Ovis aries: one gene and its partners. The protein of the gene in region 3 interacts with the protein of the main gene of each other region in a pairwise test. Links are inferred from orthologs where the notes say so. Each region holds a gene or a part of one and is shown on either strand. Other genes may lie near its edges.

The links.
Region 1: the proteins of AIRIM (region 3) and KRT19 interact in binary tests that used the Homo sapiens proteins (3 or more experiments, as listed by UniProt). The two-hybrid records come from large-scale screens. The link is inferred for Ovis aries from reciprocal best matches to the Homo sapiens genes AIRIM and KRT19.
Region 2: the proteins of AIRIM (region 3) and RINT1 interact in binary tests that used the Homo sapiens proteins (3 or more experiments, as listed by UniProt). The two-hybrid records come from large-scale screens. The link is inferred for Ovis aries from reciprocal best matches to the Homo sapiens genes AIRIM and RINT1.

The regions. Positions count from the first base shown.
Region 1 is NC_056064.1:41,473,679-41,477,719, reverse strand, and holds the start of KRT19 (keratin, type I cytoskeletal 19), read left to right. Parts: upstream 1-1,237; 5' UTR 1,238-1,292; coding exon 1,293-1,709; intron 1,710-3,350; coding exon 3,351-3,433; intron 3,434-3,656; coding exon 3,657-3,813; intron 3,814-4,041. UniProt on the Homo sapiens protein: Involved in the organization of myofibers. Together with KRT8, helps to link the contractile apparatus to dystrophin at the costameres of striated muscle.
Region 2 is NC_056057.1:48,154,348-48,158,513, forward strand, and holds the start of RINT1 (RAD50-interacting protein 1), read left to right. Parts: upstream 1-1,362; 5' UTR 1,363-1,472; coding exon of another isoform or gene 1,473-1,514; exon of another isoform or gene 1,515-1,899; intron 1,900-1,957; coding exon of another isoform or gene 1,958-2,003; intron 2,004-3,452; 5' UTR 3,453-3,489; coding exon 3,490-3,595; intron 3,596-4,166. UniProt on the Homo sapiens protein: Involved in regulation of membrane traffic between the Golgi and the endoplasmic reticulum (ER); the function is proposed to depend on its association in the NRZ complex which is believed to play a role in SNARE assembly at the ER.
Region 3 is NC_056054.1:12,495,845-12,499,228, reverse strand, and holds part of AIRIM (AFG2-interacting ribosome maturation factor), read left to right. Parts: coding exon 1-58; intron 59-2,239; coding exon 2,240-2,411; 3' UTR 2,412-2,527; coding exon of another isoform or gene 2,528-2,565; 3' UTR 2,566-3,384. UniProt on the Homo sapiens protein: Part of the 55LCC heterohexameric ATPase complex which is chromatin-associated and promotes replisome proteostasis to maintain replication fork progression and genome stability.

The DNA.
Region 1 (4,041 bases), on a different chromosome or scaffold from region 3:
AAAAGGGCATGGGGCCTCTGTCCTGAGACTGGGTGGCTGCTCTGACATAAGGATGGGAAAGAACTGTGGGGACAACTGTGAGGAGGAGTGAGGTCCCTGGGGACAGGAACTGGGGTGAGGTTGCTTCAGGACCTTGCAGTGCCTGGCACGGGGGCCTCCAAGGCGATCGAAAAGGTGGGTGGAACAACTGAACTGGGTGAAGAGCGGGCTCGGGGCGGCGTGTGGAGTGGAGGGGCACCTTCCTCTATTACCCAAACTCTCCACGGTGATCATGAGTGCCCTTCCTGGCAATCCATCTATTCATCCGGGTACTAGGACAGGACAAACAGACACAGGAGGATTCAGCCTTTGACACCCTGCTTGGAGATGCTCACAAGGACAGAGGGATGCTATCCTGTCTCCGGGCAGCAGGTGCTAAAAGACTCATGAGTGTTACTTGACTCGCTTAGGCTCAGAATGTATGCCTTTGGAGCTGGAGGTAGAGGGTTGTTCTGGTAGAGGGGTGGGTAGGAGGTGAGAGGCGCTGAATGGGGGATCAGCCCTCAGGTCGGGGGTCAGGGTAATTGTGCTTTTTACAGTCCGGTTGCAGATACCCTCCCAACAGCTGTTCCCAGGAGCCTATTGTCACCCTGGGGCCCTGTGCAGCCATAACAGGGTAGGGTGGCTTTGTCTCAGGAGGCCTGGGAGGTTGCAGCTCAGAGTACCTCCATCTGGGGTATTTGAGGGGGGCCAGGGTGTGGGCGAGCCCCAAGGGACAGCTTCAGAGAGGTGGTAATTCCCAGGGGCATGTAGGAATCAGGAGAATGTACTTTTGGGGGGCTTAATTTTGCTCATAAGTAAGGGGCTCGGAGTATGATGGGGAGGGGTACTCTGAGTGAGTGATCTGTACTCTCAGAAGGACTGTAATTCCTGGGGGGTGTCAAACTCAGGGTGATCTTAATGGGGGGCAGCATGTGAACTGCGGGGATGTCCAAGGGTGAGCGTGCTAGCGGGGTGTGGAGCTGGGGCTCGGAGTGGTCTGGGGTGGGGCAGCTCTCGGGAGGGCAGGAACCTCTGGCCCCTGGGAGGGGAGAGGAGGAAGCTGAGCCGCCAGGAACTGACCAATGGGGAGAGCGCCCTTATTTGCAATCAGGAGCCTGCAAATTCCAGGGCGCTCAGATAGCCGCCTGACACCGTCCCCCCTCCCCCTCCCCCGCCCGCCCCGGGCATAAAAGGCGCCAGGTGAGGGCCTCTCGCCACTCCTCCTGCCGACCGCAGCCACTCCGACCAGTGCCGCCTCGTCCTCCTTCGCCATGACTTCCTACAGCTATCGCCAGTCGTCGTCCACCTCGTCCTTCGGGGGTATGGGCGGCGGCTCCGTGCGCTTCGGGGCTGGAGGCGCCTTCCGCGCGCCCAGCATCCATGGGGGTTCAGGGGGCCGCGGCGTGTCCGTGTCCTCCGCCCGCTTCGTGTCCTCGTCCTCCGGGGGCTACGGCGGCGGCTATGCGGGCGCCCTGGGCACGTCCGACGGGCTGCTGGCGGGCAACGAGAAGCTCACCATGCAGAACCTCAACGACCGCCTGGCCTCCTACCTGGAGAAGGTGCGCGCCCTGGAGGAGGCCAACGGCGACCTGGAGGTGAAGATCCGCGACTGGTACCAGAAGCAGGGGCCCGGGCCCGCCCGCGACTACAGCCACTACTTCAAGACCATCGAGGACCTGCGGGACCAGGTGGGCGGTGGCCCGGCTGGGGGAAGTGCACCTGCCGCGGAAACCCAGCCCCGAGGGCCGGGCGAGGCCCGAGGCGGGGGCGGCGGGCGCCCCAGCCACCTCCCGGCGGGGCGGGAGCGAGCCCGTTAGGATGTGGGAGGCCGACAGGGTGGGGCTGAGCGGAGCCGGCAGGTGAGGAGGGGCAGGACAATGGGCCAGGAAGTGAAGCCTGCAGGGCGGGGCGGGTTAGTGTGGCAGGGCTGGAGGAGGAAGGCGCTCCGCTCCGCTAGGCCTGGGAAAGGGGGTCGGAAGTAGCAGGAGTTGGGGCACAATGTGGGCTGCCCTGAGGTCTAGGCCCGAGTCGCCGTGACAACAGGAACATGCAAGAGTTTGGCCAGGGAGAAATTCGGTCCACACCAGGCCAGCCCCGTCTCCTGCAGTCCCCGGCTGGGGCCCTCTGCATTCCTTTATTCCGGGCGGGGGCGGGGGGTCTGGTTTCGCTCACGCTCAGGCTGAAGGCCTCGTCTGCCCAGGGGGCCACTTGGGACTCTGAGGAGCTCTGGGAAGAATGGGAGAGGCCGACTCTGGGCCCTGGTCAAGGAGGGACAGTCACTGTGGCCCTTGGACCGAGTGAGAGTGAAGAATGCAACCGGTGTGCGGAGGCCCAATGCTCTGTGGGTGGAGACAGGTCCCAGCTCCAGCCTCTTCCTGGGCGGTGCTCAGGGTCCTTCAGGGTAGGGCTTGATCTCCGCCCACCCTACGGGGAAGAGCAGGAGCTGGGAGCTCGTCCAGAAGAAATGTTTCAGAAGCCAGTGGGACATTTAACAGTCTCATATGCCATGCATGCTTGCGAGTGTGCTCAGGCTCGTTGCGACCTCATGGACTGTAGCCCCAGGCTCCTCTGTCAATAGAATTTTCCAGGCAAGATTACTGGAGCCGGTTGCCATTTCCTTCTCCAGGGGATCTTCCCCACCCAGAGATGAAACCCAAGTCTCTTGTGTCTCCTGCATTGGCAGGCAGACATGTTGGATCTCCGAACACACAGCCCCCACAACATAGCCCAGGACTCACCTTGTGCCTGGCCTGGTGATGGGTGCCAGGTGCCTAGACCAGTCCCCCAGATGAGAGTTAGGGATGTAAACAACTAGGGTAGTGCTTTCACACTTGTAAAACAGTGACCTACACTAGGAAATACAGTTTACCCGAAAGAGGAGGTGCGAAGTGCTGACGCTTAACAGATACTCAAGAAATTCCCTTCCCTGAAGGCAGAATGTGCTTTGAGTAGGGGTGGGACAATGGGGTAACCCCTATTTTTGCTGCATCTGGTCTGCAGATCCCTAGAGGCTGCCTCCCTAAGACCATTAAGAGTTTCCCTGGGTACAGGTCTTGGAGACTTTTCCCTCTGAGGCTTACCGCTCTCCCCTGCCCCTGCCCATCTCCTGCCCCCTGGGTCAGCCTCCTTGGTAGTAATTTTCTCCTGTTCCAGCTCTCAGGCTTGGACTGATTTCAAGGCCGCCCAGAGAGCAGGCAGCCTGGGGTGGCTGGAGCTTTGGTCTCCAGGGACCCGGGGGCACAAGCACTTCTTTGCTTCTCTGGGAAGAAAGTGGGTGGGCATTGCCCATATGCTGAACTGGTGCCAACCTCTTGCCTTCTGCCTCGCAGATTCTCGGTGCCACCATTGAGAACTCCAAGATAGTCCTGCAGATCGACAATGCCCGTCTGGCTGCAGATGACTTCCGTACCAAGTGAGTGTCTCTACTTTAGGGGCTGCCAAAGCCAGAGCAGGGGAGGGGAGGCAGTCCCTTTAGGGGCTCAGAGCCATGGCGGGAAATGGATGCTTCCCTCACCTACCCTAGCTGGTCTAAAGCACTTTCCATCCCCCATGGGGCCTTGAGCCCAGGGGAGGTGGGGAAATCTTCAGAGGTGCAGAGGAAATGCTGGCCTGATTACGACTATTTCCTCTGAAAGGTTTGAGACGGAGCAAGCTTTGCGCCTGAGCGTGGAGACTGACATCAATGGCCTGCGCCGGGTGCTGGATGAGCTGACCCTGGCCAGGACTGACCTGGAGATGCAGATTGAAGGCCTGAAGGAGGAGCTGGCCTACCTGAAGAAGAACCACGAGGAGGTGGGTTTCATGCTGGGCATCCCATCCACCCTAACCGAGCTCCCCAGATAAGATTTTTAGCCTGTATCCTCTGCCTGTGGCCACATTTGCGGGCCTCTTGACCTGACCCTGAGTGTGGATTGTGGCTCTCAAGGGTTCTAACAGCAGATGGTGGTGACTCCGTCTGTCCCCCAGTGCTGGGTCCTAGGTCTGCACCTGAAAACCGGCCTCTCCCCGCCATGGCCTGGG
Region 2 (4,166 bases), on a different chromosome or scaffold from region 3:
ATGTACAGAATTTCAGTGTGAAATAAATTTTCTTTTGAAGTTTGACAGACATGCTCTGATGTCTTCTGGGTTTCTTTGTGACCACTGAGAAATTGAATGATATACTGATTCTTGATCCTTTCTAAATGATCTCTTTTTTTTTTCCTCTCTGGAAGCCTAGGGTTGTCTTTTTGACCTCAGCGTTCTGCAGTTTCACAGTGACAAGCCACGGGATGAGTCAGGTTGTATCCATTGTGCTTGGCTCTCAGTGGGACCTAGTTCAATCTGGAAACTCCTGACCTTTGGTTTGGAGAAATTTTCTTCAATTGTTTTGCTGGTGATTACTCTTTCCCTAATCGCTGTTTTGTTTTTGTTTTTCTTTTAGAACTCTTATTTTTTTGGATTTTAACCCCCCTGGAGTGGTCCTCTAATTTATTTTTTCTTTCCTATTTTTTACTCACTTGACCTTTTGCTTCCCACCACCACCACCGCTGCCCCCCACGAACCGCACCCCCCCCGCCCCGCCCAGGATATTTCCCAACATTGATCTTAAAACTATTTTACTGAAATTTTCATTTCTACTATTATATTTTTTTGTCTCTAAATGCTCCTTTTAAAATAGTAGACTGTTACTGCTTTATGGTTGCGATGGGGGTCACGCATCTCAGGATATAAATAAAGTTTTCTCCTCGTTGAATGTTTTCTGTTTTCTCTAAGGGTTGCTTATTTCCCCTGCCCCTGTTTGCTTCAGTCTCCACGGTAGCACTTGCACGTTTGTTTTGAAGTCGTCAAATCCCTGGGTTCGCTATTTAACTCTTGATGGCAATCCTAGTCCTCCTCCCTAGCAAAGAACAGACTTCTTTGGTCTCTGCACTGGGCGAAGTATATAGTAGATGCCGAGTCCTTTTCCTCCTTTCAGCTATCGGAATGTGATCTGCACCCACCAGGTAGGAAGTTGGAGGGTCACCTCTAGGTGTATCTGATTTGCGGTAAAAGAAGGATCCAAAGATAAAAGACATTGGAGATTCCGCAGCTAAAACAGTCCAACCAAATTACATTAAAGCCAGTCGACAAGCCCCCTCACACTCTCAGAACATCTGGTATATCATCGGAAATATAAGTTGAAATGACTTAAGTGGAATTTATGTGGAGGGAGGGGTACCTTCAAGCTCCATCATTAATGACCTCAATGCAGTGGAGAAGATTTTACCAAGGTTGAGAAAGACCTCGTCCCCGCCCCTCCTCTCCCCCGCTTCTCCTTCCAGAGGGGTTGATCCGACCCCCGGACGGCAGGGGGAGCCTCTGCACACGGCCGGCAGCTGCACGGGCAGAGCCTCTCTGGTAGGAAAGGAAGAAACCAGAGAGACGGTGCAGGAAGTTGCCGTGGCGTCCGGCGCTACGGTCTCCGAGGCTCATCTCTGATCGCTGGCGGGAGCCAGAGTCCATTGGCCACGCTGGCTGCGCAAGGAGCAGACGACTCGCGCGGAAGCAGGATGCTCCTGGCCGGCGAGAGCGGCGAGGCACCCGTCACTCCGGTTAGGTGGCCCTGGTGACCCGGGGAGGGGACACTGGTGGCCCAGTGAGGTGGCACAGACCTCCAGGGGAGAGTGTCTCAGTGAGGTGGAGTTGACGGCCTGGGGACGCGGTTGCCGTGACCCCGGGGAGATGGCCCTTGCTGCTCTGGCAAGGTGGCAGACCTCCCGGGGGAGGTGGCCCCAGTGCGGTAGCTCTGGCGATCCCTGGTGATATGACCTAGATCGTTCTGGAGAGGTGTCCCTGGAGGCCAGGCAAGGTAACCCCAGCTCTCTGGGGATGTGACAGTGGTGGCACCAGGGACGTGGCCCTTTGGGAACCTCCAGACTCTGGCCTCCCAGGAAGTTGAGAAGTTGTCCTCCACTGGATGCCCCCTGAGAGCCCTGTGTGAGTTCCCCCTGTCACGTCAGTCTTGATGTGTTTGTCTTACCTGTTCTCCTTCTAGTGCTGCTCTGAAAATGGTGACCAAAAGAAGAACCTCAAGGAGAAAAGTAAGCAGATTCCAAACACCTTAGCACTTTGCACCCAGCCATCGCTCCAAAACTCGGTTCTCGGGTCTGCATCCAGAAGGATCTTATTAGCCTGTTAATCTTTTAGATAAAGTATCGTTTTTTCCTTTTTGTACAACCTGCTTGCATAGTTGTTGACCCCATGGACTGCAGCACGCCAGGATCCTCCATCCTTCCTATCTCCCTGAGTTTGTTCAGATTCATGTCCATTGAGTTGGTGATGCTATCTAACCATCTCATCCTGGGCCACCTTCCTCTCCATTTTTCTTCAGTCTTGCATAGTAATAAATACTAATCATCATGCACATATTTTTGACTTTCAAGATTGTGTAAAATGTGGGGTAATTTGGAGACTAGCACTTCCTGATCCCTACCTAGTGCAAGGACTGGTGTGGTTTCACTCCAGTGCTGCCCTTCCACTGGGTTCAGAATAATTGGGGCCTGCCTGTTATTTTAATGAAGCATCAACTTGTTAAGCATCAGGAATTTGGAGGGGCTAATGATCTAGGAGAGATGACCATCATCATAGTTGCATTTAAAGGAGTCAAATAATAATTGTTTAGTTGTACTTTACCTTCAGTGAATTTGCAGTTAACATTGATCTGGGAAGAGCACAACAGATCACCTGGTTCCTGGATCTTGAACTGGGCAAGGAAAGGGAAAAGGTCAATGTTTACTACCTGCAGGGGCACATGCCAGGGCTGTGAACATTTGGCATTTTACTTTAATGAGCTAAATGTGGCAAGCTTTTGGGAAATCATCAAGGGCTTTTGAAGTGAAATTTATGGGTAGAGGAAGGGGGAAGCATGGAACAGCTGTTCCATCAAAGAGTTTTTGGTTCTTCTGACCATGGCAAATAGTCTGGGAATGAGTAGTGGTAACAGACAGGGTGCCCATGTTACCATATTGGCATTAGGACTTAGACTTACCCTTAACATTGCCTGTTGCTACAGTCTGTCTCAGAAAGCAAGCTATGAGCACTTCATAGTACTTGGCAGTCACAGCTGCCACAACTCAGCTCCTTTTACCTAAAGGCAAAGGATTTGAGAGGATCTCATACCATTCAGTTAAACCCTTCCCTTTCCACCTTTCCCCCATTCATATGCTTGGGAAGTTGATGCCACTGAGCTGTAGATTTTATCTTTGTCTCTCCTTTGGTGGCTTGGTCAATTTCTCTGCAATTAAAAGTGTGCTTTACAAAAAATAGAGGAGAGACATTAACACCTCCCTCCCCACCCCCGAAAATTACCAGTGGGTCATTTTAAAGGATGTTATTTGAATAAGAATGTACTATGGTGCATTTAAATGGTTAAATCAAAAAAGTATAATATTTTTGTAAAAAGTGAAGGTAGAATTTACTCTATAAGCTACAGCAAGCTTAGAGTTCACAAAATATTCCCTCCGCCCATAGTCCTGCCTCTGTGTCTGCAGATACATCACACAAACTTACATGTTTTATGTAAGATAAATGAAAAGACATGGCATTGAGACTCCTGTACATAATAGTATATGGATTCCTGTAGTAATAAAGTTTGATGCAGTCCAGCCAATTCTGATCATACCTGAAGGAGAAGGTAAGAATATTGTGTTAAGAGTCCCACTTACAACCTTTTAAATGTAGGCAGGGCAAATGTTAGAATTTATAGTTGGGAAGTTGAGGCATAGACTTTTATTAGTTTTGCTGCTACCTACCAGTGGGCTACTGGTTCTCATAGCATGGGAAAAAGCATTTAATTCTTATAAATTGAATAGAACAAAGGAGAAAAAAAAATTTATGGGCTGGGGAGGGGAATATACACAGCGTTAAACACTGGTATATATTATGTTAATTGCTGATAGTTACATTTTACACTTAAGCATATCTTTATTTAGATATTCTTTCATTTTGTCAGAAGTGGCTGTTGTTTTCTAATGAGGCTGTTATAACCTCTTGCCCTTCATTGCTGTTTCTTTAAAACTTTATTTTTGAGAAGCAGACTCACAGATACAGAGAACAAACTAGTGGTTACCCATGAGGAGAGGTAAGTGTGGACAGGCAATATAGGGGTAGGGTATCTAGAGGTACAAACTATTACGTATAAAATAAGCACTGAGTGAAATAAGTCAGACAGGAAAAGACAAATATCCTATATCACTTACATGTGG
Region 3 (3,384 bases):
CCTCTGTGGCTGAAATGTTGGAGTGGTTGCAGGACATTGAGAGACATTATCGGAATTCATATCCTTTGCACACGTTTCACAGAGCTGTTCCAGGAAGTCTTGTTAATTTCAGTTTTCACCAGATTACACAAAAATACATGGTGTAAGTCAGTTCTCTTTGGTTCCTGGACGTGCATTCCTCCTGCATCCCTTTGTACAGTGATTCCTCAAATCATTTATTGAGCAGATGCCACCTTCCAGGCTTTATTCTAGGTGGTAGGAGCTAGACATTAAAAAGGGGAAAATATATAAAATGTCAGATGATGTTAAGTGTCTTGAAGAAAAATAAAGCAGGGATTGGGGAAAGCAAGGGTTAAGGGTGGGCTTGTAGTTTTAAATAGGGTGGTCAGGGCAGGCCTCACTGCCCTGAAAGTGGTTTCTAAGAAAAGATGTGAAGAGGGTGAGGGGAAGAATCGTGTGGATGTTTGGGGGAAGAGTGTTCCAGGTAGAAGGAGCAGCAAGTGCAAAGGGCCTGAGGTGACAGTGAACTTGGTCCGTTCAGGAAATAGCAAGGCAGCCAGTAGGGCTCGAGCCAAGTGGGCCTGGTCTAACAGGTGATGCTGTCAGGAGACAGGGCTAGGGCTGGTAGGGCCTCTGAGGTCTTTGGAAGGAGTTGGGCTTTTATTCTGAGAGAGACACAAGCTGTAGAAAGTTTTCAGTAGAGGAGTAATCTGATCAGACCTATGTTATCACCCATCTGTGTTCTGAGGGAAGACTTGGGTGGAAGCCAAAAGACCGTTTCACTGGAGTCCGCTCCCTTTTTCTCTCTAGTCTTGCCCGATAGGCGCGTCTACTCTCTGGCTGGAGTTTCTACCTTCATTTATTCTTGCCTCTAGTTTTGATTTTCAGTTTCCTGCAGCTGCCTCCTGACTGGAATCTCATGGAACTGCAGGCTCAAGTGGATGGAGATCAGCCCCCACCCCATCAGCTCCCTTCTTCAGCTGTAGCGTCACGTAGTCTGTAAACCGGAGGGTTGCCCCCGAGCCCACTGTTTGCTGATGGCATCGGTAGCGGCGCTGGCTGCGCTGGCGGCAGCAGCCAGGGCAGGCGTCATGAGCTCTTCCTGTGTGCCGGTGCTGTTGGAAGGGTGTTTGGCTCCACTGTCCAGTCCTTCCGCTCTGTTTCCTTGGTGTTTCTTGGAGATCCCTTCTGTATCCCCACTGCCTGTGCCACAGTCTCACTTGGATCCTTTGTCGCATGCCATCTCTAGGCAGGTTTCTCTGACCCTGGCTTCTTTCCTTAGAAGGAAGAAGCTACCTCGAGGTCGTGGCCACACTACAGGTTTATCTTCAGGAGTCCCTGTTCTGATCCAACTGGGTAGGGCTTCTCCGTAGCTTCTTGTGTCCCGGGGGTGAGACCCCGCACACTGGTCTGTGTCTTCTCCCTCCACCTGCCTGCTCAGCTGCCTTGCCTGCTCCCTACACACGATTCCATTCTGCATCTCGTTGGAAGATGTACTGTCCTGAATCCATTCCGTGCTTCCCCTCTTCTTTGTCTTGGTTTAAGCTCTTCCTACCAGCCGGAATCTTCCTACTGTCCTCTGAAGCAGTGGTTCTCCACCCTTCTTGGCGCTGGGGACTGGTTTTGTGAAAGTCAGCTTTTCCACAGGGACGGTTCAGATGGTAATGCGAGCAGTGGGGAGTGGCAGGTGAATCTTCGCTTTCTGGACCACCGCTCACCTCCTGCTGGGAGGCTCAGTTCCTAACCCGTCTGGCCACAGACGGGTACCAGAGATTGGGGACCCCTGCTCTAGGGCGGATGAATTTATCCTGTGAACTTCCACTGAGTTTTATCTCTTCCCATTTAGAGTCTTTTCAGTTTCTGTTGTGTTTTTTTCTCACCACAGTGAGATCCCAGTTTGCAGGGCAGTGTTTCATCCCTTCCCTGTAGCCCAGAACCTTGTATATAGAGGGGCTCGGTAAAGATCTGTAGCAGAGGTGAGCCTACTGCTGCTGCTGCTAAGTCGCTTCAGTCATGTCCGACTCTGCAACCCCATAGATGGCAGCCCACCAGGCTCCTCCGCCCATGGGATTCTCCAGGCAAGAGTACTGGAGTGGGATGGAGGTGAGCCTGCCCACCTGGTAAATGTAATGATAGCTGTGCTTTTGCTTTTCTAGCTCCTGGGAATGCTCTCCAGGGTATTTTCTTCCTTCAGCACATTTCATTTTCTTTTTGAGCACCTTCCTTAACTCCCAGGAAAGTACCTAAAGAGGAAGTACCTCCTGTCGTCAATCCAATGGGAAGACTTGGCAAACATCCAAGCTTTGCCCAGAGCCTGGGACCGAATCTCAGAAGATGAACACCCGGACCTTGTACGAGGTGCTGGTTTTCATGCAGTCGTTCGTGTCTGCTCCCCTCCTTTGTGTGTCTAGCCTCTTTGGAATCACGAAGAGGTTCCCCCTCCTGGTGCCTCTAGCTTTTACAGATCTGGTGTTTCGTGTTTTCTGGAGAGCTGGTATGCCGCATGTTCTCTCTCTTCCTGTTCTAGATGTCATGTTGAATGTTTCCTTCTTCCTGGAAGAATGAAGAGGCCATGTGTTTATCGGGAGACTCGGGGGACACAGATGAAGACCGACATTGCTGCCCTCTTGTATGTCTAAAAAATGTCAGTACTGCGTCCTGACTTACTGGAAATGTCAGTGCCCAGCGCCTGAGGACTGGCTCTTCAGCGGATTCTGCTGGACATTCCTGATGTTGGGGCTGCTTCATGCTGGGTCATGGGTGAGGGTACATGGTCACACCTTGCCCTTCCCTAAGACTCAGGAGAGTGGACAGAGGCAGAGAGGATGCAGGAAAGGTGGTGCAGAAGAACACCAGGGACAGAAGCAACAGCCACAGAAAGGGCTGGTAAGAAAGGAAAGGGCCAGGGTAGAGAGTTGGCACCACCCCCAGCATCATCCAAGACTCTCAGCCTCATTGACACCAGGTCCTAATTTCCTCTCTTTTTGTCAGTACCTGACTCCTTGATGGAAAAAAATGTCGCTTTGATGATTTAAAGAAGTGAAGGTGATGTTGATGGAAAACTCATTGTCTTCCAGTTGCAACGGCTCCTTGTCATCAGGACACTTTCTAGAGCATTCCACCAGGGGGAGGTGGTGTAGCATGAATTCTGAGTGTTTTGCATTTGGAACTGTTCCCTTGTTGCTCTTACTGACAGTAAGTAACTGGGGATAGTGGGGCTCTTAAAATAACATGGTTTTCTTTTTACCAAAGCCGGCAGCCAATTTGCTACAGGCCCCTGATCTTGGAGTAGCTGCATGGATGGGAGGTCCCCAGTCCAGAGTCAGGCAATCAGGATTGTGTTTCTGAGGCCCAGTGCCTTAATCTGTGAAATGGTTGTGATCC